Linked DNA regions of Cricetulus griseus. The protein of the gene in region 1 binds, or shares a complex with, the protein of each later gene. Links are inferred from orthologs where the notes say so. Each region holds a gene or a part of one and is shown in the gene's direction. Other genes may lie near its edges. The genes, in order: Cul3 and Kbtbd4.

The links.
Region 2: Cul3 (region 1) and Kbtbd4 share a complex: the UniProt entries of both Homo sapiens proteins name them as parts of the BCR(KBTBD4) E3 ubiquitin ligase complex. The link is inferred for Cricetulus griseus from reciprocal best matches to the Homo sapiens genes CUL3 and KBTBD4.

Annotation. Positions count from the first base shown.
Region 1 is NC_048595.1:432,985,146-433,001,021, reverse strand, and holds the start of Cul3 (cullin-3), read left to right. Parts: upstream 1-6,614; 5' UTR 6,615-6,742; coding exon 6,743-6,808; intron 6,809-15,876. UniProt on the Homo sapiens protein: Core component of multiple cullin-RING-based BCR (BTB-CUL3-RBX1) E3 ubiquitin-protein ligase complexes which mediate the ubiquitination and subsequent proteasomal degradation of target proteins.
Region 2 is NC_048599.1:85,853,347-85,857,407, reverse strand, and holds the start of Kbtbd4 (kelch repeat and BTB domain-containing protein 4), read left to right. Parts: upstream 1-1,261; 5' UTR 1,262-1,310; coding exon 1,311-1,386; intron 1,387-1,939; coding exon 1,940-2,557; intron 2,558-4,061. Other genes in the region: Ndufs3 (NADH dehydrogenase [ubiquinone] iron-sulfur protein 3, mitochondrial), read right to left, coding at 647-712, 810-873. UniProt on the Homo sapiens protein: Substrate-specific adapter of a BCR (BTB-CUL3-RBX1) E3 ubiquitin ligase complex which targets CoREST corepressor complex components RCOR1, KDM1A/LSD1 and HDAC2 for proteasomal degradation.

The DNA of each region.
Region 1 (15,876 bases):
TGATGGATCCTTTACTCAAAAAGCCTGGTCTCCAGAGCGAGTTCCAGGACAGGTTTCAAAGCTTCAAAAAGAAACCCTGTCTTAAAAAAAAAAAAAAAAAAAGAAGGAGGAGGAGGAGAGGAGGAGGAGGAGAAGAGAAGAAAAGAAGAAAAAGAAAGAAGAAGAAAAAGAAGAAGAAGAAGAAGAAGAAGAAGAAGAAGAAGAAGAAGAAGAAGAAGAAGAAGAAGAAGAAGAAGAAGAAGACGACGGTGGCAAAGAGGCCATGAAATAATGAGAGGATCCAGAAGGCGGTGGCACAGAATCAACTTGTCTCTAGGAATTGTTTCATTGTATTAACTGGAGCTAGACATAGCTTTGTTGGTTTTGATGTCTTTTCATCAGTTGATGTTAATTCTGTCCTACCAGGGCTGCTTTAATTCACTCACATTGCAAATTCTACCAGGTCTAGATAGAAGAATTAAGCCTACGATTTCACTCTGAACAACACAGACAAGAGCTTACGGAGGAAGTTTAAAGATAATGCTATTTTATTACACTTACTGGCGGGCTAGTTTATACAATTACTAAATGTAGAATAAAATTTATACTATTTGCTTTCATGGCTCTCTAGTGCCATGCTATATCTCAACTCCAAATTTACCTTACAAAGAATGAGCTGATGAATTATAAATTTCAATATATACTTTAGCTGTCATGAATGAAAGTGATACACAATATAATTGCCCCCTAGAGGCTTCTTTCGATGTTTACTGTTAAAATGCAATTGGTAAGAGAAAATTATTTTCCTTTGAAATAAAATCTTGTGCAGGCTAGCATGATGGTTCAACAGGTAAAAGAACACCTGCCACACAAGCCTGGTGACCTGAGTTCAAACCCCAGGATTCACACAAAGGTGAAGGAGCGAACTGGCTCACTAAGTTATCCTCTGATCTCCACACATTTCCCTTTAATAACATGGCATTGTACAATGCAGATATACATGCTGTTACCAGGCATTTGGGCAACCCCACGTCTAATGACCTGTAGTACTTATTAGGAAACAAAGAAGAAAGAAAATCTAGCTCTTTCGTGCAAGGAGCTGGGACTCTCTCTACATCTGTCTTCTAATCTGAAAAGCATACAACTTCCCTTACCATGGTCTTGGTCTGTTCAAAATCATTAACTTCTAATTGAATTGGTAGGTTGTGAGCTGATTTAATAACCAATATCTTTACAATCAAACATGTGTGTCTGTAGTGGTGATTACAGAGGCTTGGTTTCCTGGATACCCAGAAACTCATAGCCAAGAAGAGGCTATTATTCCCTTTTACAGGCTCTTCACACCTTATGGTGCTTTTTGCAGACTGGAATTTAGAAAAGGGGCTGGCACACCCAGCTGCCTGGCCTGACATGTCTGACTACACGTCCCCCGTGCGGATAATGGAAACGGGGCCACTGTTTCCCTGTGTCAGGACACTGTCAGCAGGAGTAGGAATAATAACTGTCAGGCATGCAAGATCTAGTGTGTTCCTATTGCAGTGTGCTTGCTCTGTTGGGAAGGTGGCTGCTTGCACAAAAGATAAGACCCTGAAAGGTCATCTTTTATTTGCAAGTCAGGGACTACCATGAGCCATTAGAATAGTCTACTGAAGTTTAGACGTTTTTTTCATATACATTTTGAGGATGCTGCTTCCCTGGAAAGAAAAAAAAATCTCTTGATTTCTGCACTGAAATATACAGGAAGTTATTGCTCAATTCAATTTGGGTTTGTGGTTTCTAATTTTGAGATGTAAAGAACTTTTATGTTCTGTGATGATGGGTCTCAACTCATTTATTCACACTAGAACTTCACATATATAGTAGCTGTTCAATAAATACTTGAGTAAATAAATGAACAAATAAATCAGCAAATTTTCTTTAAAACTGATTTACTTATTTTTATTTTATGTGCATTGGGGTTTTGCCTACATGTATGTCTGTGTGAAGGTGTGGGAGGTAGTGTTACAGGCAGTTGTAGGCTGTCATGTGGTTGCTGGGAATTGAACCAATGTCCTCTGAAAGAACAGCTAGTGCTCTTAACCGCTGACCCATCTCTCCAGCCCCAAATCAGTAAATTTCTTAATGTGATTCAGTTTGAAGCATTTTTGTTTTTTCTTGATGCTTAAAATCTAAGAAAACAGGCTGGGCAGTGATGGCACATGCCTTTAATCCCAGCAGAGGCAGGGAGATCTCTGTGAGTTTGAGACCAACCTGGTCTACAGAGCAAATTCCAGGACAGTCAGAGCTACACAGAGAAATCCTGTCTGGGGGTGGGGTGGGGTAGGGATCTAAGGAACAGTTGATAGCGATTCTTTTTTATGTTTTTTTGTCTTTTGTTTTTCGAGACAGAGTTTCTCTGTGGCATTGGAGGCTGTCCTGGAACTAGCTCTTGTAGACCAGGCTGGTCTCGAACTCACAGAGATCCGCCTGCCTCCGTCTCCCGAGTGGTGCCAGGTGTGCACCACCACTGCCCGGCGATAGTGATTCTTTTAAATGCACTTAGTTTTTGCTTAAGTAACACAAATATGAGATCTGTGTTTGTGAAACAAATGAAAGTGACTATATCACTTTACAATTGAATAGAGATAGGTCTTAAGTAGTTAATTCTTCTAGTCTGGCCTTTGGTATTTTCCCAAGTTCATGGAAAACTGAGAAAGGTTGATGTACTATTTTTCATAAGGCTAAATGAATCAACGTTCTTTATTCAAAACTTAAATCTTCGCAATTGCTGAGTCAAAATATTTCTTTTATTAAAATTATAGGGATGATTGTTCTTGTAAATTTTTTAATTTAATTAAGTTTTATTTAAAAAAAACCCCTGCAAATCATAAAAATACCACATCCATAGACTTGATGAACCTCTGTAGTTAGAATTGACATTCAAAATGGAAGCTGTGGAGCTTCATATTAAATTTTACACTTTTACTACTGCATATATTTTATGCACTTATTCACCACCAAAAGCAAAAAAAAAAAAAAAAAAAAAAAAAAAGCCCTCTATCGTCCTTCATAACTTGTATCTATCACCTACATTCAGTATTTCCTGATTCCTTCATATTCTGCCTTTCTTATTCTCATTCTTCATACCCACAAGTACATTTGTCTACATATTACATATAGTATTGCCTGGAGTCTCTTTATGAGAGGGAGCATGCAGTTTCTTTCTTTCTGATTTTGTGTGAGCCCACTTAACATCATACATTCTAAGTCCATCTAATTTCCTGCAAATTTAACTTCACTTTTGTTTGTTTGTTTGTTTGTTTGTTTGAGACAGGGCTTCTCTGTGCAGCCCTGACTGTCCTGGAACTCGTTCTTGTTCTTGTAGACCAGGCTCACAGAGATCCACCTGCCTCTGCCTCCCAAGTGCTGGGATTAAAGCGAGCGCCACCACTGCTCGATTTAACTTCACTTTTCAAGCTGAGTAGTGAAAACATAAAACTTCTGAGTCAGTTTTCTCCTTCCACCTACAGGCACTAGAGATCAAGCTCAGGTCCCCAGCTTGGTGGGTATCTGTCTAGCCATCTCGATCATCTGCTTGTTCCTGTTTATTTGACAAATTATAATTGATAGTCTTCTAAGGGCTCTCCAGTTTCCTGAAAAATGTTTTCCTGGTATGTGGTATCTGAGCTGCAGCCTGGCTTTCAGATATGACCCATTTTATAAACACATACCAGTATTTACTTATTTTGTAGGAACTAATATAACTTAGGCCATATTGAATAATATAGTAACAGCCAAAAAGTACTGCATGGCTGCTTGATGGCTATCACATTTTTAAAAGTTTTATTATTGTTGTGCATGTGAATATGTGGATGTTGACATGCCATGTCCTCTGTGTGTGTTTGTGTGTGTAGTCAGAAAAAACAAAAAACAAAAAACAAAAACCTTTGAGAGTTGGTTCTGTTTCATTTTTAACCTTTAGTTAGGCACCAGGCATAAACATCAGGTTCATCAAACTTGTGTAGGGCAAGTACATCTACTTCTTACTGCTGAGCCATCTGGTCAACTTTTTGATGGCTTTTAAAACGTATTCACTCACTCATTCAAATCTGATAGCAACCCAGGAAGAAATATTGTCTCCATTTCACGGATGAAGCCCTCCAGACAAAATAGCCAAATCCTTGCCCACAAAGAAATTTATTACACAGTTAATAAAGTGGCAGGACTTATCTGGTTGGTGGTGGCACACACCCCTAATCCCAGCACTGGGGAGGCAGAGGCAGGTGGATCTCTGGGAGTTTGAGGCCAGCCTGGTCTACCGAGAGAGTTCCTGGACAGCCAGAGATGTTACACACAGAACTCCTGTCTCAAAAGAACAAAACAAGTGGCAGAGCTTAGATTGAAACCAATGCCTACAGAACATATATTTAACTTTATTAAGAAACGGAGCTATGTGACAGAACAGCCAACAGAAAAGTTTTATATTGTGATAACTATGGAAATGAAGATCAATTAGCATGCAAATTATATACTCCTATCCACACTTATTATGTTTGTCAGAGCCTTTCCTAGTTTTAACTAACCCATTTTTTATTTTTAGCTTAGTGTAAGCAACATTCTCAAGCTTCTGTTTTGATTAGTAAATACAGATAAACATACATCACACACACACACACACACACACACACACACACACACACACACACACTTGGTTTTTTGAGACAGGGTTTTTCTGTATAACAGCCCTGGCTGTCCTGGAACTCACTTTGTAGACCAAGCTGGCTTTCGACTCACAGAGATCCTCATGCCTCTGTCTCCCTAGTGCTGGGATTAAAGGCCAGTGCCATCACACCTGGCTGTAAGCCTATTTTTTAAAGTTTATTTTTCATTGGGGGCATTTCCACGTAGGAGAGTCTGGAGCATAGCACTGTAAGCTTAGACATTACAAATAATTTAGGGCTAATGCAATCATAAATAAGCAAGCTTTACTAAGTTTTCTATTTTAAAAAGTTACTCAGACCTCAGCTTCCAAATGCAGATGCACATCACAACAGTTTATTCAAAAAATTAGAAACCTCAGGAGAAAGTCAGGTTTTCCCTGTGGAGATGGAAACAGCAATGAGTAAGTAGGTAGATTAGGAAGTTGGAGTCATACTAAATTAAAAGCAAAAGGCAGTCAAACTAGACAGTTCCACTATAGGATGATAAAAGAGTCCCAGAGCAAACAAAAAACGTTTCCAAATCTACAGCAAACTGAATTCCACGGTGGCTTTTGTTTTAATGGTCTGCACTGCTCTTGGTAATGGTACAAAAGATTTGTTTGGCAGGCGTCTATCATAATGTTTAACACAGACTATTAAGATATTGTAGTACGCAGGGCAGTGGTGGTGCACGACCTTAATCCCAGCATTCGGGAGGCAGAGGCAGGCGGATCTGTGAGTTCGGGACCAGCCTGGTCTCCAGAGCGAGTGCCAGGATAGGCTCCAAAGCTACACAGAGCAACCCTGTCTCGAACCCCGGCCTCCCCCCGACCCCCCAAAAAAAGGGGAATAAAAAAAGATGTGGTACATTAGGCACTCGTTTTATTTCGATACAAACAAAAACCGGTTTTCACATTAGTAGGTTCTGGATCCTCCAGAAAATACCAAATTTACCGACAAACCCAGGAGCTAGCGCAGTGCAAGCAAGGAAGCCTGGTCGCCTCAGTTGTGAGGCGTTGCAACACCTAGCTCGATATAGGACATCAGCTTCTCATTGGGCACAAACTCTGCTTCCAAGTTTCTGGCTGGGGCTCAAGTACCCATCCCTAGGCCACGTGCCCTAGAAAAACACAGCCACAGTTCGAGGACGTTGAGCCGCCCCACGGGCACCCACGCCCTTGCCTGGGACTACCTGCAAGGGGGCTCCGCCGGGCGGGCGGGCGGGGGCCACGGCGCTGAAAAATCCCAGCTTGGCTCCCGGAACTTCCCCCGCCCACTGCCCACGTGACACATCATCTTCGCCCTCCACCAATCAGCGGCCGCCCCCGCCTACCGGGGGTCTCGGACGCTCCTCTTTTGAAAAGGCAGCCCACGCCTCCTGGCCCCGGGCCCCGCCCCTTTCCCGCCCCCAGGACGCTGCCCGCTGTCATTCCTAGCTCCGCACCCTCCTCCGCGTCCCCGCCCCTTCCTCGCGCTCCCTCCCTCCCGCCCTCCCGGCTCCGACCCGCGCCCGCGCCGCCGGCCCCTCCCGCGCCGCGGCGCGGCGCGCGCCGCCCCGAATCTCGCCGAGAATCTGGAACGTTGCCGCAGGCCGCGCGCTTCCCGCTTCCCCTCCCGTCCTCCCGCCCCCTCCCCCCATCTCTCCACTCTCGGCTCTCCTCCCTCCCTCCTCCCCCCTCCACCCTCTGGGCCGGATCTCGTCTCGCTGAGGCGGAGGAGGAGAAGGAGGAGGAGGAGGACGTTCGGCCTGCGCAGTGAGATGTTTGTCCGTCGCCGCCGCCGCCGCCATCGCGGAGGAGCGCGATAAAGGGAGCCGAGCCCGGCGCGAGGGGAAGCCCGCGAGCCGCCGCGCCAGCGCAGCGCCGAGCCCGAGGCCGCCGGCCCGAGCCGCCGCCCGCCGCCGGCGCGGCCCCGCGCAGGGGCCGGCCCGCTGCCAGCCGCAGCCCGGGGGCCGCGCCGCCGCCCCCGCCGAGCCCGCGGCCGCCCTCCCGCCTTCAATGTGACACCGGCGCCTCGGAGTGCGAGCCGCCGCCGCAGCCGCCGCACCCGCACCCGCCGCCGCCACCGGGGAGGGGCCGAGCACCATGTCGAATCTGAGCAAAGGCACGGGCAGCCGGAAGGACACCAAGATGCGGATCCGGGCCTTTCCGGTGAGTCGGTCCTCGGCGCCCGGGACCCGGAGCCGCGGCCGGGAGCCGCACGCGAGGCCGGGGCTGAACTCCGCCAACAGGCCGCAGCCCGCCTCCCCTCACCCCACGGCCGCCGGTGGCGGGGCGCGAGCCTTCCAGGGCAAGCGGGCGGCGCGGGCCGGCGCGGTCGCCACCGGGCGCGAGCCGGGCCGTTCCTGACGCCCCGGTCGCCCCGGGGCCTCCTTCGCGCCGGCCTCGCTTGCCTCGGCCCGAAGGGGACGCGCGCTGCCGCCGCCGCAGCCCTCGCGTGGGGCGTGTGTGTGTGTGTGTGTTTGTGTGTGTGTGTGTGTGTGTGTGTGTGTAACTTTCAGCTGCTGGTTTCCAGAAGGAGCCGGCTGGGCTTGGACGGTGGTGGGGAGGACCGTCCGCCTCTGCCCCCTCCTCAGTCAGGAGCCGTCTTGCCGCCCGCCTGCCCCACTCACTGACAGAAATGCCCGGTGGCTAAAGAGCAGCAGCAGCACCGAGCCTAGTATTTATAGCATCTTTGATCCCGCAAGCCTCCTGAGCGCTTCACCAGACGCTCCGCTCCGAGGAGGGCCGGCCAGGCACAGAAGGAGCTGCACTCTCCTGCTTTTCCATCTCTTAGCCAGGGAAGTCCCCAAGAATAGTCGCCACGCAGGCTAGTTTTACCTTGTACGTTTCTTTTAGCGACAGCAAACGTTTTTCTCTTGAGAAACTTTTTTTTTTTTCTCTCTTGGCGTTGCGTTGAGTCATATAGGCTTGCGGTGTTTAGTAGATGGAGCCTAACTTCGGATGTCATGCCTCCATCAGACAGCCAGTGGCAGGCAATTAAAAGGTCCTGTTGTAACAGAGAAACTGGACATACTTGCTCATGTCGCTACAGTAACAGGTAAAAGTCAAACGGGCAAACCCGCAGTCGGGCAAGTCCTCTTAAAAGTAAAACCAAGGAAAGTTGTTGTTTTTCTCTTCTGAGGCTCATAAGCATTCTGTCGTGTGGGTACCCTTTGCAGTGAGGAAAGGAAAGACAGACAGACCACAGTGTTGCCCGAGTTGAGTAACTTTGTCCTGGAGAACTTGAGGGCCACTGAATTCTTAATGTCAAAAAGAAAAGTATACAACTGATGCAGAATTGTGAATTTGCAAGGAACATATTGAAACTTTTATGTAAATAAATGGGGCCTATGTAAACAGGGTGGGTACAATCAGGAGGAAGAAGTATTTTGATATTAATTACATTATGAACGATTTATTTTTACATCAGAAAGTGAGAAATGCTGGAAAGACAACACTGATAAAGTTCACTACTATGTTTTCCTTTGTAATTGGGCAGTGGCCTGGGTTTATGAATTTGAGTAATAAAATTTTCCTCCTGAATCCACCATCCAGGTGATTGTCAAGTCTGATCCCTCCCCCCCCTTCTATTTTTTGGGGTGTGTGTGTCTTTTAATGAAATCGTGACACTGGTTTTCTAGGAAATGTTTGCTCTTGGTGCTGTTCTTTCTTGAAGTCTTTGTTTGGTGAGATGTGGAAGACCTCCTCTCTGACAAGTTGTATTCTGTCTATCTGTGCTTGCACCTCTTTGACCTCCTCCTCTCCCTGCTAGCACCTGTTTTCCTCTCCCATCCCTTCATTGCTCCAAGATACACTGAGTGCTGTATGCAGGTACTGTTCCTGGAGCTTTAGGATTTATCAGTAGATGTGTAAAGGCAAAGATCTTTGTTTTCTGGAGCTAGTATTAGGGATTAAAAGCAGGAGAGAATTTTATTCCATTAGCTGAAGATGATAATAGTGTTTGATAGGTTAGCTAATACATAGTACGGGAACAGAGATTTGTTTTGTGTTTTCGTTTTTTTCCTAGTTCATAAGTATAAATAACAGTCAAGGTAGTTCCCATTGAAAATAATCAGCCATTGTTGGGGGTAGATAAGGCTCCAGTGATATTTCATTGACTTCTGGGAATCAGGTCCTTAGACTGTCAGACTTTCATCCAGATTAGTGGTCTTGTCTAAAACTACAGCCCACATCAACTGCTACTCAGAAGTTATAAATAGTATTTCACACACACAAAAATACCACTTATGCTTATGTGTGTATATTCCTACAACTGGTGTATGTTACACTATGTGGATATATAGTTAGCTGTAACTTATGGCAAACCGTAGGTTAATGAAAAATTTCAGTTGCTCATTTCAGGGTCGTCCCCCCCCCAAAAAAAATTGATATGTAAAAGGAATGAGTGAGTTTGGATTTGTTTCATTTTCACTGTACAGTAGTGGTGAGTTACCTTACAGAATATTTCATATATACGAGAGTATTGCAGATAAAATTTTACCAAACAGGTTCTCTTTGTATTTTTAGTGTATATTTTAAGTTTGTTTTCACATTATTCAGCAGAGTGAAAGTTACACTACACTAGCTTAATGCACAGCTTGAATTTTTTCTGCCCCCACCCCCAGTTTACATTTTTAAGTAAACTTACAAAATTTAAGATTAAGAATTTCTGTACTTGAACTGTTAACAGAAAAAATTGTTGATTTAATTTTTAGACTTACTTTTATTATATAGACTATAGTTTATTTTACATCTTTTTGTTGGTAAATTTTTTAAAGTTTTTTTTTTGTTGTTTTGTTTTGTTTTTTGTGAGGTGTGTGTGGGTCTGTGCATTTTGAGTGTAGGTGCCAGCAGAAGGCAGAGGAGTCAGACTCCTTGGAGCTGTCCCGTTCTACCTGCGGGTGCTGGGAATCAGTGATGGTCTTCTGCAAAATCATTAGGCACTTTTAACCACTGAGCTACTGCTCTAGCCCCCGTTGATAATATTTCATTAAGAAAAAAAGCACACAAAATATCAGCTGGGGCTACAGAGCGTGATTATTACAAAGAGGGGACATTACATATGGATTTGGGCCAAGTAATTCCACTGGAAGAGATTAATTTTTTCCTTGCTGTTTCCATGTGTCTTCACTTGTATGTTGTCTACCCTGTATATACTCTTTTGGGTTAACATTTCTCTGAAAAACCATTCCTCTCTGTCTGGTCCAGAATTTTGTTCAAATGGGCAGGCATGGTTGGACTTGGAGGTGTGATTCTTGAGTGAAAATACTGTCCTCTGTCATTTGCCATTCTTGGCTTCACTTAGATTAGGAGACACTGAAAGTAACTCCTATGATGTGACCTGTCGCTCTACAAAGCTCCCAGCAGTGCACACTCTGTAACTGCTGAGTCAGCGCTCTTGCTCCAGTTTGCATATAATAGCAGTTCAGAAGAGTTGGGAAAATTAGTACTCAAAGTGAATTTTATTGTTTGTTTATTTGTGTATGAGGGAGAAAATGGTATCAGTTATTTAAGTGTGGAATGTGTGTATGTGTGTGTGTGGTGTGGGCATATGTGTCTGGGTATATTTGAGGCCAGAGGATTTTTGGGTGTCCTTGTCTATCATTACCTTATTCCCTTGTGATATGTTCTCTCACTGAACCTGAAGATGGGCTGGCAGCCAGTAAGTCAGTCCCAGGGATCCTCATGTTTTTGCCTTTCCATAGAGCTGGGGTTACAGATACTCATTCACACAACTGTGCTCAGATTTTGAGTTCATATCCTTATGCAGCAAGTATGCTTGAACCAAATAATCTCTACAGCCCCACGAATTTTAAAGCCTATTTTTACATAGTAGCATAGTCAATAATGTAAAATTTGGCCCTTTCTTTCCGTACAAGTACATTGACTAGGAAGTTGAATCATTCACATAAAATAGTCATTTGTTTGGTTATGTTTCATTCATTAAATGTAGCTTAGTGGTAGCAGTAATAACGTTTGTCCAGTGCAGGAAGAGTATAGGATTTTGACTAGAAATATTGTCATTTTTCTTTATATTATAAATATGGAGAACTTACAACAGATTTTTTTGTTACTTCTCCTTCAGGATTCTCAGAAGGGTAGTAGATAGACATTGGATGAATAGTTAATTTATGGTTTTTCAAGACAAGGTTTCTCTGTAGCTTTTGGAACTTGTCCTGGAACTCTGTAGACCAGGCTGGCCTCAAACTTAATGAGATTCGCCTGCCTCTGCCTCCTGAGTGCTGGGATTAGAGGTGTTTGTTTGCCTGTCCTAAAATGAACCCAAAAGTATTAACACTAAGAATCATTGAGGTAAAATATGGTATGTAATTCATAGATGTATTATGGTTTGACAGTTGACTTTCTAATCATGAAAGTGATATAGGCCAATGATAGAAAATTTGATAAAATATCCATGCTTAAATTTCCAATAAGCTGGGAGGTGGTTTACTCCTTTAAATTCATAGCACTATTTTATGGTGGATCATGCCTTTAATCCCATTACTGGGAGGCAGAGGGCAGGTGGATCTCTGTGAGTTCAAGGCCAGCCTGCTCTACAGAACTAGTTCCAGGACAGGTCAGGCTGTTAAACAGAGAAACCCTGTCTTTGGAAAAAAAAAACAAAGAGAGAGTAAACAAAACAATTGCAATAATCTTACCACCTGGAAATAAAGAATATTAACATTTGGATGTGTTTCTTTAACGTTTCATATCCCTGTGTGATTTCATAGCCCAGTTGAGTCTTTTGTGTGTGTGTGTGTGGTTTTTTTTTTGAGACAGGGTTTCTCTGTGGCTTTAGAGGCTATCCTGGAAGTAGCCAGGCTGCTCTCAAACTCACAGAGATCCTCCTGCCTCTGCCCCCCCACCCCCGCTGGGATTAAAGGCTTGCACCATCACAGCCAGGCCCTGTACTCATTTTTAATAATGGTTTCTTACAGTGCATATGGGTAGATTTTGGAAAACATTTTGTCACTGGTACTTTATAATTCCCACATTTACTTTATTGTTCACCTACTGTCAGGAATTTTGACTGACTCTAGGAATTTTTTTTTTCTCTGTACAGAATGCAGCTTAGACTCTGCATAATCCATTCTAGAATTACTGAGCTGAATAGAGTTCGCGTATATTATATAATGACTATCAAGAGAGGTGGAAATATAGCTAAAACTTGTTGAATGCTAGTTCCAGGACAGGCTCCAGAGCTACAGAGAAACCATGTCTCAAAAAGCCCCCCCCATCATAAAAGTAGCAAAATTACAGTTTTAAAGTAGTAATGAGAAGTAATTTTGTAGTTGAGGGTCACCACAACATGAGGAACTGTATTAAAAAGAGTTATAGCATTAGGGAGGTTGAGAATTACTGTTCTATACCATCTTAGTGTTATCTGTTTTACAGGTGAGGGCTTGAGAGTTCAGTTTGCTTGAGGTTAGTGTGTAAATATGAGAACCAGGTTATAACTGGTCCTGTGTGAATGTGAATAGGAAGTATACACTTCAAGGTTGTTTGACATCTTTGAATCTTGGCCAGATACATCTTTGTTATTTATTAATAGGTTAAAAAATAGTAGTTGAGGTGGACTTTGGGGAGCCCCTGTCAAGGGCCCTACCTTGCCTGGGGAGTGGAGGGTGGATGGGATGGTGGAGGGTAGGTCGGGAGGGGAGGGAGAGGGAGAAGGGATTGACATGTGAAACAAGCTTGTTCCTAATTTGAACTAATAAAAAATTACAAAAAAGTAGTAGTTGAATATCTTTTGTTTATTATTAGTAAGGATAAAACTATGGGTAGATCCTGGGGAACTTTTAGTTTTGGAGCATTCAACATATGTGTTAGTTGTGTAGCTAAAATTTAAAGAGGCTGAGAGAGTAGTAGTTAGAGTGTGGGCTAAAACAGCAGGTCCACATTATAACTTGTACTGCCTCCTAAATTAGCCTCACTTTTCTGTATAAAATGAGAATACTAAAAGGACCTGCCTTACCATTTTGTGTGATAAAGTAAAGCTTAGAATTTAGTTAGCACACAGTTAACTATAATTATGTCAATAGTGAGTCATGATTTTACCAAAATTTGAATATTAAAATTCTGATATTTTTTTGTAGGTAGATTGAAGTTCTGCATACTTATTTAGTGCTGTGCTCTCCCTCCCTATTTTATACAAGCTCTAGCTTAGTATTTCTGAAAGCCCACAGAACCAATTTGTGAAGCACCCAAGAATGCAGTCTGAAGAATATAGGGTTGGTACCTCTGGGGTTCTGTATAGGAATGCTACTGGCTCTTGGGGTATGGCTTCAAGAGAGAGTTTTCAGTAGTCATTCCTGCACAATTAGATAAACACTCTATGCTATGTGTATAATACCCTAACATGTTTAAGTAAATGTTCATCAGTTCTAAAGCAGCATTTCTCAACCTGTGGGTCTTGACCCTTTTGAGGGTCAAGCAACCTTTTCACAGGGGTTCACCTAAGACCATCTGCATATCAGATATTTACTTTAAGATTCATAGCAGTAGTAAAATTAATTATGAAGTACCAGCGAAAATAATTTTATGGTTGGGAGTTACCACAATATGAGGAACTGTGTTAAAGGACCATAGCATTAGGAAGGTTGAGAACTACAGATCTAAAACTACTTACTATTTTGTTGTTGTTGTTGTATTTGTTTTAATTATCTCCTGTCTTCCTCATTTTTGGTATTGATTCTCAGATTTCCCAGTGCTCACCCAGACGGCTTTTTTTTTTTTTTTTTTTTTTTTTTTTTTTTTTTTTTTTGCCTTCATTGCTCATGTTTTCTAGGCTGTGGTGTACCGAAGAAAATTGAAAGACAGTGTCACTAACTTAGACCCATTTCATATGTGTGTCTAGCTAGTGCATTTCTCAACTTTCCTACTCAGCTGTTTTATTTTTATTTTATTTTATTTTATTGCCTGCATGTATGAGGGTGTTGAATCCCCTGAAACTGGAGTTACAGACAGCTGTGAGCTAGCATTGTAGGTGCTGGGAATTGAACCCAGTTCAATATTTTTAACTGTTAAGCCATCTCTCCAGCTTCAGAATTTTAATCACTGCACTTAAAACTGTTTATTAAGAATTCTCAGCTGGGCGTGGTGGCACATACCTTTAATCCTAGCACACAGGAGGCAGATGGAGGTGGATCTCTGAGAGTTCAGGCCAGCCTGGTCTCCAGAGTGAGTTCCAGGCCAATCAAGGCTGTTAAACAGAGAAACCCTGCCTCGAACCCCCCAAAGGAATTCTCTTACCTCTCTTCAAGAAACTAACAATTGTCCCCTCCCCAGGAAAACCAGTGTCAGGAGATAGAAGTTCTTCAGCAATCTTTCTATTCATTTACACTCTTGAACATGTATCATTACTCAGCTCTTGGCTTCTGTTGTGAGAAGCAAGAAACTTTTTCTTCTTCATTACCAATTTCATTTTGTTTTCATGGCCAAGATTCCTGATAGAATGATCTATATCTCTTTATTTAGGAGTTTAATTTTCTTTTAGGGGAAGCATCAAGTCTTTATGAATTGATTTTCATCAGTCTAGTTATACTAGTACACAACATAGAATAGGCAGTATTCAGTAAATGAAATAATACAATGTTCTTTCCTTAGTCCGTTTTTTTCACATAAAATGACACACTGAAGGACAGTTTTTCACAGATTCTAATTATAAGGAGTAAATCAGAGTATAAAACTTTCTAATAGTGGTGTAACTAGGATATTTTAAAGAAAGTTGCTAATTGTAGAGCCAGAATTTTCATTTAAAAAATGTTTAGAGTGTGCTGTAGGGTAGTCACAGTCACAGATTGTAGAGGACTGGAGGGCTTGCAGTAGAAGGGTATCCTCAGAGTTGTCCTCTATGGTCATTTAGAGCTGCTTCTCTATTGCCATTAGTAGGGGATTCATTTAAAAAGGTTAGCCATTGCCTTAACATCACTAATCACCAGCCTAATAAACAGGGCCATACTTGCCTAACTAGATAATAATAATAGGAAATTGAGAACTAGTCTTGTAGTTGTCTTAACTAGCCCATAGTTTTTGCTATTGGAAATTATGCCTTTTAATCTTTTAAAGCCAACTAAAATTGAAGTAATTAAGTAAAACTTGTTGATTTGGCTTGTATACATTTAAGACTTAGAATCTAGAGAAAGGGGGGAGGACATACTTTGTTTTTTAAATGAAAAATGTTACTGCTGAGCAAGTGAACAAAACTTCAAAGGGGATCTTTACCTTCTTTGGAAAACACAAGATTTCTTGGAGATATTCTTCTAAAACATCAAGGCAGCATCACCAAGAGGGATTCTTTAACACTCTGCTTGCAAGTTATTCTTTAAAGTAGCTCTTGATGAACTGTTAGCCTCTGATACCTATGTATCCTTTCTAAGTAATGAACATTGTTTTCCTCTTTATATCCACTTACTTTCCATCTCCAACAAAGAAAAGCCACTTTATGAGATTAGCACACTGCTAAGGGTGGAACACCTACTTTATTCTGGATTTTGTTTTAAATATTTTGACTGATCTCAAATCCAAAAAACAAGTTTTAGTTGACAGTCTTTTTCCTCATGCTTTAAATGTTCTTGAGAGTTCTGAGACATCCACTAATAGTATGTAATATTACATAAACACATAGAAAAGGGTAGAGTCATTTTCCATTAAACTACCAGAACTGTCCAGCCTTTGAACATTGATTGCTACATGGCATTGTCAAATATAGAAGTACTGGGTCATATTCATAGTTATCTGAGCATGCCTACATGCATGCAACTCATGGGACACAGGTTGATCTTGCGTGTTATACTACATACTTACATTGTTAAGTGTTTTTCTAGTTTGTGGAATAATACGCTTTCTTAATAGATATATATTGAAAAAACAATTCTAAAGTGGTTTAAATTATTGCCTAAATAGCTGGGTGGTGGTGGCACATGTCGTTAATCCTAGCACGTCAGAGGCAGAGGCATGCAGATCTCTGTGAGTTCCAAGACAGCCAGGACTACATAGAGAAACCCCGTCCCAAGACCCAAACCAAAATAAAATTATTGACTGGTGACAGATCTGAGAGCCATGGGGCTTAGTACAGTGTATTCGGCTCAATGCAGTGTATCTTAAGTATGTACTTAAAAAGACTATTCCTTGAAGTTAACATGTTTAATTACTTCTGAAAAATGAGAGTATACTAAAGTACTGAACACTGAAGGTTGTGTGTGTGTGTTTATTAACACGTGCATGTGTGTATGCAT
Region 2 (4,061 bases), on another chromosome or scaffold:
GTTATCTATAGGAAGATTGATGTCCAGAAATGGAAGAAAGCCAGGCCTTCAATTTCCCAGCTTGATTCTGTTGACTGACCATAAAATCACATGATCGCTCAATTAATTACTTGAGCACCCACACATCAGGCAAAGAGTTACTAAGTATTTACCGAAGACCTGTTTTGTCGTTCAGTGGACCCGTGACTGAAACATTTAATTATGTAGACTGCTTCATGATCTATAGTACTGTCAATAAAGTACTATGCATCTCATGTGGCTGTTATTAAGTCCAAAGGAAATTATTTACTGTATGGTTTAAAGCCTTACGGTGCCTAATAAGTACTAGATTGGTGTGAGCTGCTATATTTCTGTTCTTCTGGTCTCAAAAGTTTTGTTACCTGCTCTCAAAGAGCTGACAATTTAATCGGAGGGAGGGGGGAATCATGAAAACGAGCAAAGAGCGATCAAGATCAGAAGGGAACAAATATCTAGGGCACAGGAAGTACTCGATTCTACCAGCCAAGTGGAGACCACAGCAATCTCCAAGGACAAGCAGAGATTTGCCAAGAGGGAAGGGCATTCCAGGGCAAGGACAAACATCTGACCGAACAATGAAAAGCTCCTGCTAACGTCGGGGAGAAGAGCGAGGTCCGCACATACTCACGGCGCGTGTCAGCCGCCGCGCTCTCCCTCCTCACCCGTTGCAACAGCGCTGAGGGTCGCCCAGTCCCTGCGCAGAGAGATAAAAGGCCAAAGGCGCGGGTGAGACCAGAGAGGTCTCCGTGTTAGGCGCGCCTCTGCCGCTGCCCTTGCTGTCCCTTGCTCACCCCTGGCTACGGAAGCAGCCCCCACGAGCCCACGCCACCAGACTCTGGCTGCGGCGGCCGCCATGTTCCTTGGGTGCCTGTCGACAAACTACCCGAAGGAGCACACACAGGCCACGGAGCCCCAAGGGCACGGACCGGAAGTGGAAATGTGCAATGAATCTTCTTCCGGGCAGACGCGGGGCGGGAAGCAGAGGTTCCGGATCTGGGCACTGGCATGAAAGGAGGTAACGCAGGTAAGAAAGACCCGAAGGTGGGAAAACCGTGAGGTGTACGTAGCCCTAACTCGGTACAGCGGAGGCCGAAGAGAAGCAGCTGCAAAGAATCGGACGGGTGAGAGAAGGGGAAAGAAAGGGTGGGCGTTCTGGGTTCTAAGTTCCACACCGCTCCCCGGCTCCAGAGCCAAGGCTTTTGATGAGGGAGGGTGGCGGGGAGAGGACGGACGGTTTCCTTGGAGACCGTTTCCTAGGCGACTCTAGGTGGCGCGGTCGGATTGCACAGGTTATGGACTTCCTTGTGCCCCCGGCCGGGGACGGCTGGGCTCTCTTGAGCTTCTTTAGGAGCTCACTGGGGCGAGTGGGTAAGTAGAGAACAGCCGCTCAGAAAAGAGCAAGGGTGGAAGTAATGGATGTCCAGGCCCAGGCCTCGTATCGGTGGGTCTGCACGCTTATGTCCAGGCAAGAAAGGAATCTAGCCACAATAACTGGTTGCCTTGCCTTATTTACTTTCTTCTTCTTTTTTTGGTTTAATTATGCTTCTCCTGAGTCTCACTAGTTATATATCCAAATTATTTGATTAGTAAATCTTTTAAGATCATAGGCTTCCTCCTTCTCCACTTTCACCAGATGACCAAAGTCACAAGTCTTTTGTTACATCATCAGGAATGTCTGCTTTTCCCTCAAGGAAAAACAGCAGAGATAGAACTTTAATTGATCTCATTGGAGGAGAGACCCCACTGCAGGAAAACTTTGGGTGAAGGAATGTCATAGACCATGTTGGCAATGCCAGGGATAAGGCCAGTCTGGACCCATTTTGCTCCTATTTCCCCCTTCTCCCTATCCTGAGTTGGACAGTTGGAGGCATGGACAGTGTCTGTGAATTACTCAAATACTTAGGGTGGTATTGTTTTGCAGATAGGTGGCAGAGAGAGAAGTTGGCTACCATGGAGTCACCAGAGGAGCCTGGAGCATCCATGGATGAAAACTACTTTGTGAACTATACTTTCAAAGACCGATCTCACTCAGGCCGAGTGGCTCAAGGCATTATGAAACTGTGTTTAGAGGAGGAGCTATTTGCTGATGTTACCATCTCAGTGGAAGGCCGAGAGTTTCAGCTCCACCGGCTGGTCCTGTCAGCCCAGAGCTGCTTCTTCCGGTCCATGTTCACTTCTAACCTGAAGGAGGCTCACAACCGGGTGATTGTGCTGCAAGATGTCAGTGAGTCTGTTTTCCAGCTCCTGGTTGATTATATTTACCACGGGACTGTGAAGCTTCGAGCTGAAGAGCTGCAGGAGATTTATGAGGTGTCAGACATGTATCAGCTGACATCGCTCTTTGAGGAATGTTCTCGGTTTCTCGCACGCACAGTACAAGTGGGAAACTGCCTTCAGGTGATGTGGCTTGCAGATAGGCACAGTGATCCTGAGCTCTACACTGCTGCCAAACACTGTGCCAAGACTCACCTGGCCCAGCTGCAGAGCACAGAGGAGTTTCTCCACTTGCCCCACCATCTCCTCACTGACATCATCTCAGGTCGGTTTGTGGAGGGGCTTATCATACCCAACTATGCAAGAGTAATTTTCAGTGGGTATTCTGGCTCAGGAGGACTCGCAAGATTATGTAACTAACTGTTGTTAACTTTATATTATCATTTCTGGTAGAGATTTAGATTGAGGTTGAGAATCAGGGTAGCTGCTGTAAGAGACAGAGTGCCTTACAGAAAAAGCTGAAGAACAAAAAGCTGTATCACTTTTCAACAAAAGGAAGTAAGAGGTGCCTCATGTTTTCATCTGCCCCGTACCTACAGGATTATTTATTTAAACAAATTGATATAGATGATAAGTCAAGCTATCTAAAATAGGAAACATTTGGGTACAATTATTTAGGTAACAGTTCTGCCCTGGCAGGTGAGGTGGGACTGTACTTGAGATGTGTGCTCTGTAGCCTGATAGGTGACTTCTGTAGCATGTGGGAGCAAATTATGCCATCCACTTTTCTTTTAAAAAGCAAGCCAGGGCTAGTGGTGTAACTTGGTCATAGAGCATTTCCCTGGTGTACATGAGACCCTGTGTTTGATCCCAACACTGCAAAATGTTAGTGGTGGAGTAGTTTCAAGTTAACTTCATACGTATGTAATTGGATACATGCATAAACAAATACATATAATAGTGGTCAAATAAAGTGACTCAGGTCTTTGTTTTTTGGTTTTTTTTGAGACAGGGTCTCTTTACATAGCCATGGCTTTCCTTTCACTCACCATGTAGATCATGCTGGCTTTGAACTCACAGAGATATCTGTGCCTCCCAAGTGCAAGGATTTAACGCATTTGCTACTATGCCCAGCTGTGATTCCTCTTGAGAGCCCATTAAGATGGTCATTGATGCCAGGTGGTGGTGGCGGCTGCGGTGGCGCACGCCTTTAGTCCCAGTACTCAGGAGGCAGAGGCAGGTGGATCTCTGTGAGTTCTAGACCATCCTGGTCTACAAGAGCTAGTTTCAGGACAGCCTCCAAAGCCACAGAGAAACCCTGTCTCGAAAAACAAAACAAACAAACAAAAAAGATTGTCATTGATGAAGCTGGACAGAGGGCTCAGCAGTTAAGAGCACTTGTTGTCCTTGCACTTGTTACTCTTACAGAGGACTGTGGTTCAGTTCCCAGAATCCACATGGTGGCTCACAACCGTCAGTACCTCCACTTCTAGGGCATCTGATGCTATCTTCTGATCATGGGTACCAGGCATGCATATGGTACAAAGACATGTGCTGGCAAAACATGTCAAATATTTTTTAATGAAGGGCAGTAGTGGCGCACACTTTTAATCCCAACATTCGGGAGGCAGAGGCAGGCAGATCTATGTGAGTTTGAGGCCAGGATGGTCTACAGAATGAGTGCCAGGAAAAACCAAAACATACAAAAATAATGAGCTGGATAGATGGCTCCATGGTTAAGAGCACTGGTTGCTCTTCTGAAGGACTCAAGTTCAATTCCCAGCACCCATATGGCAGCTTACAACTGTCTCTAACCCTGTTCCAGGGCT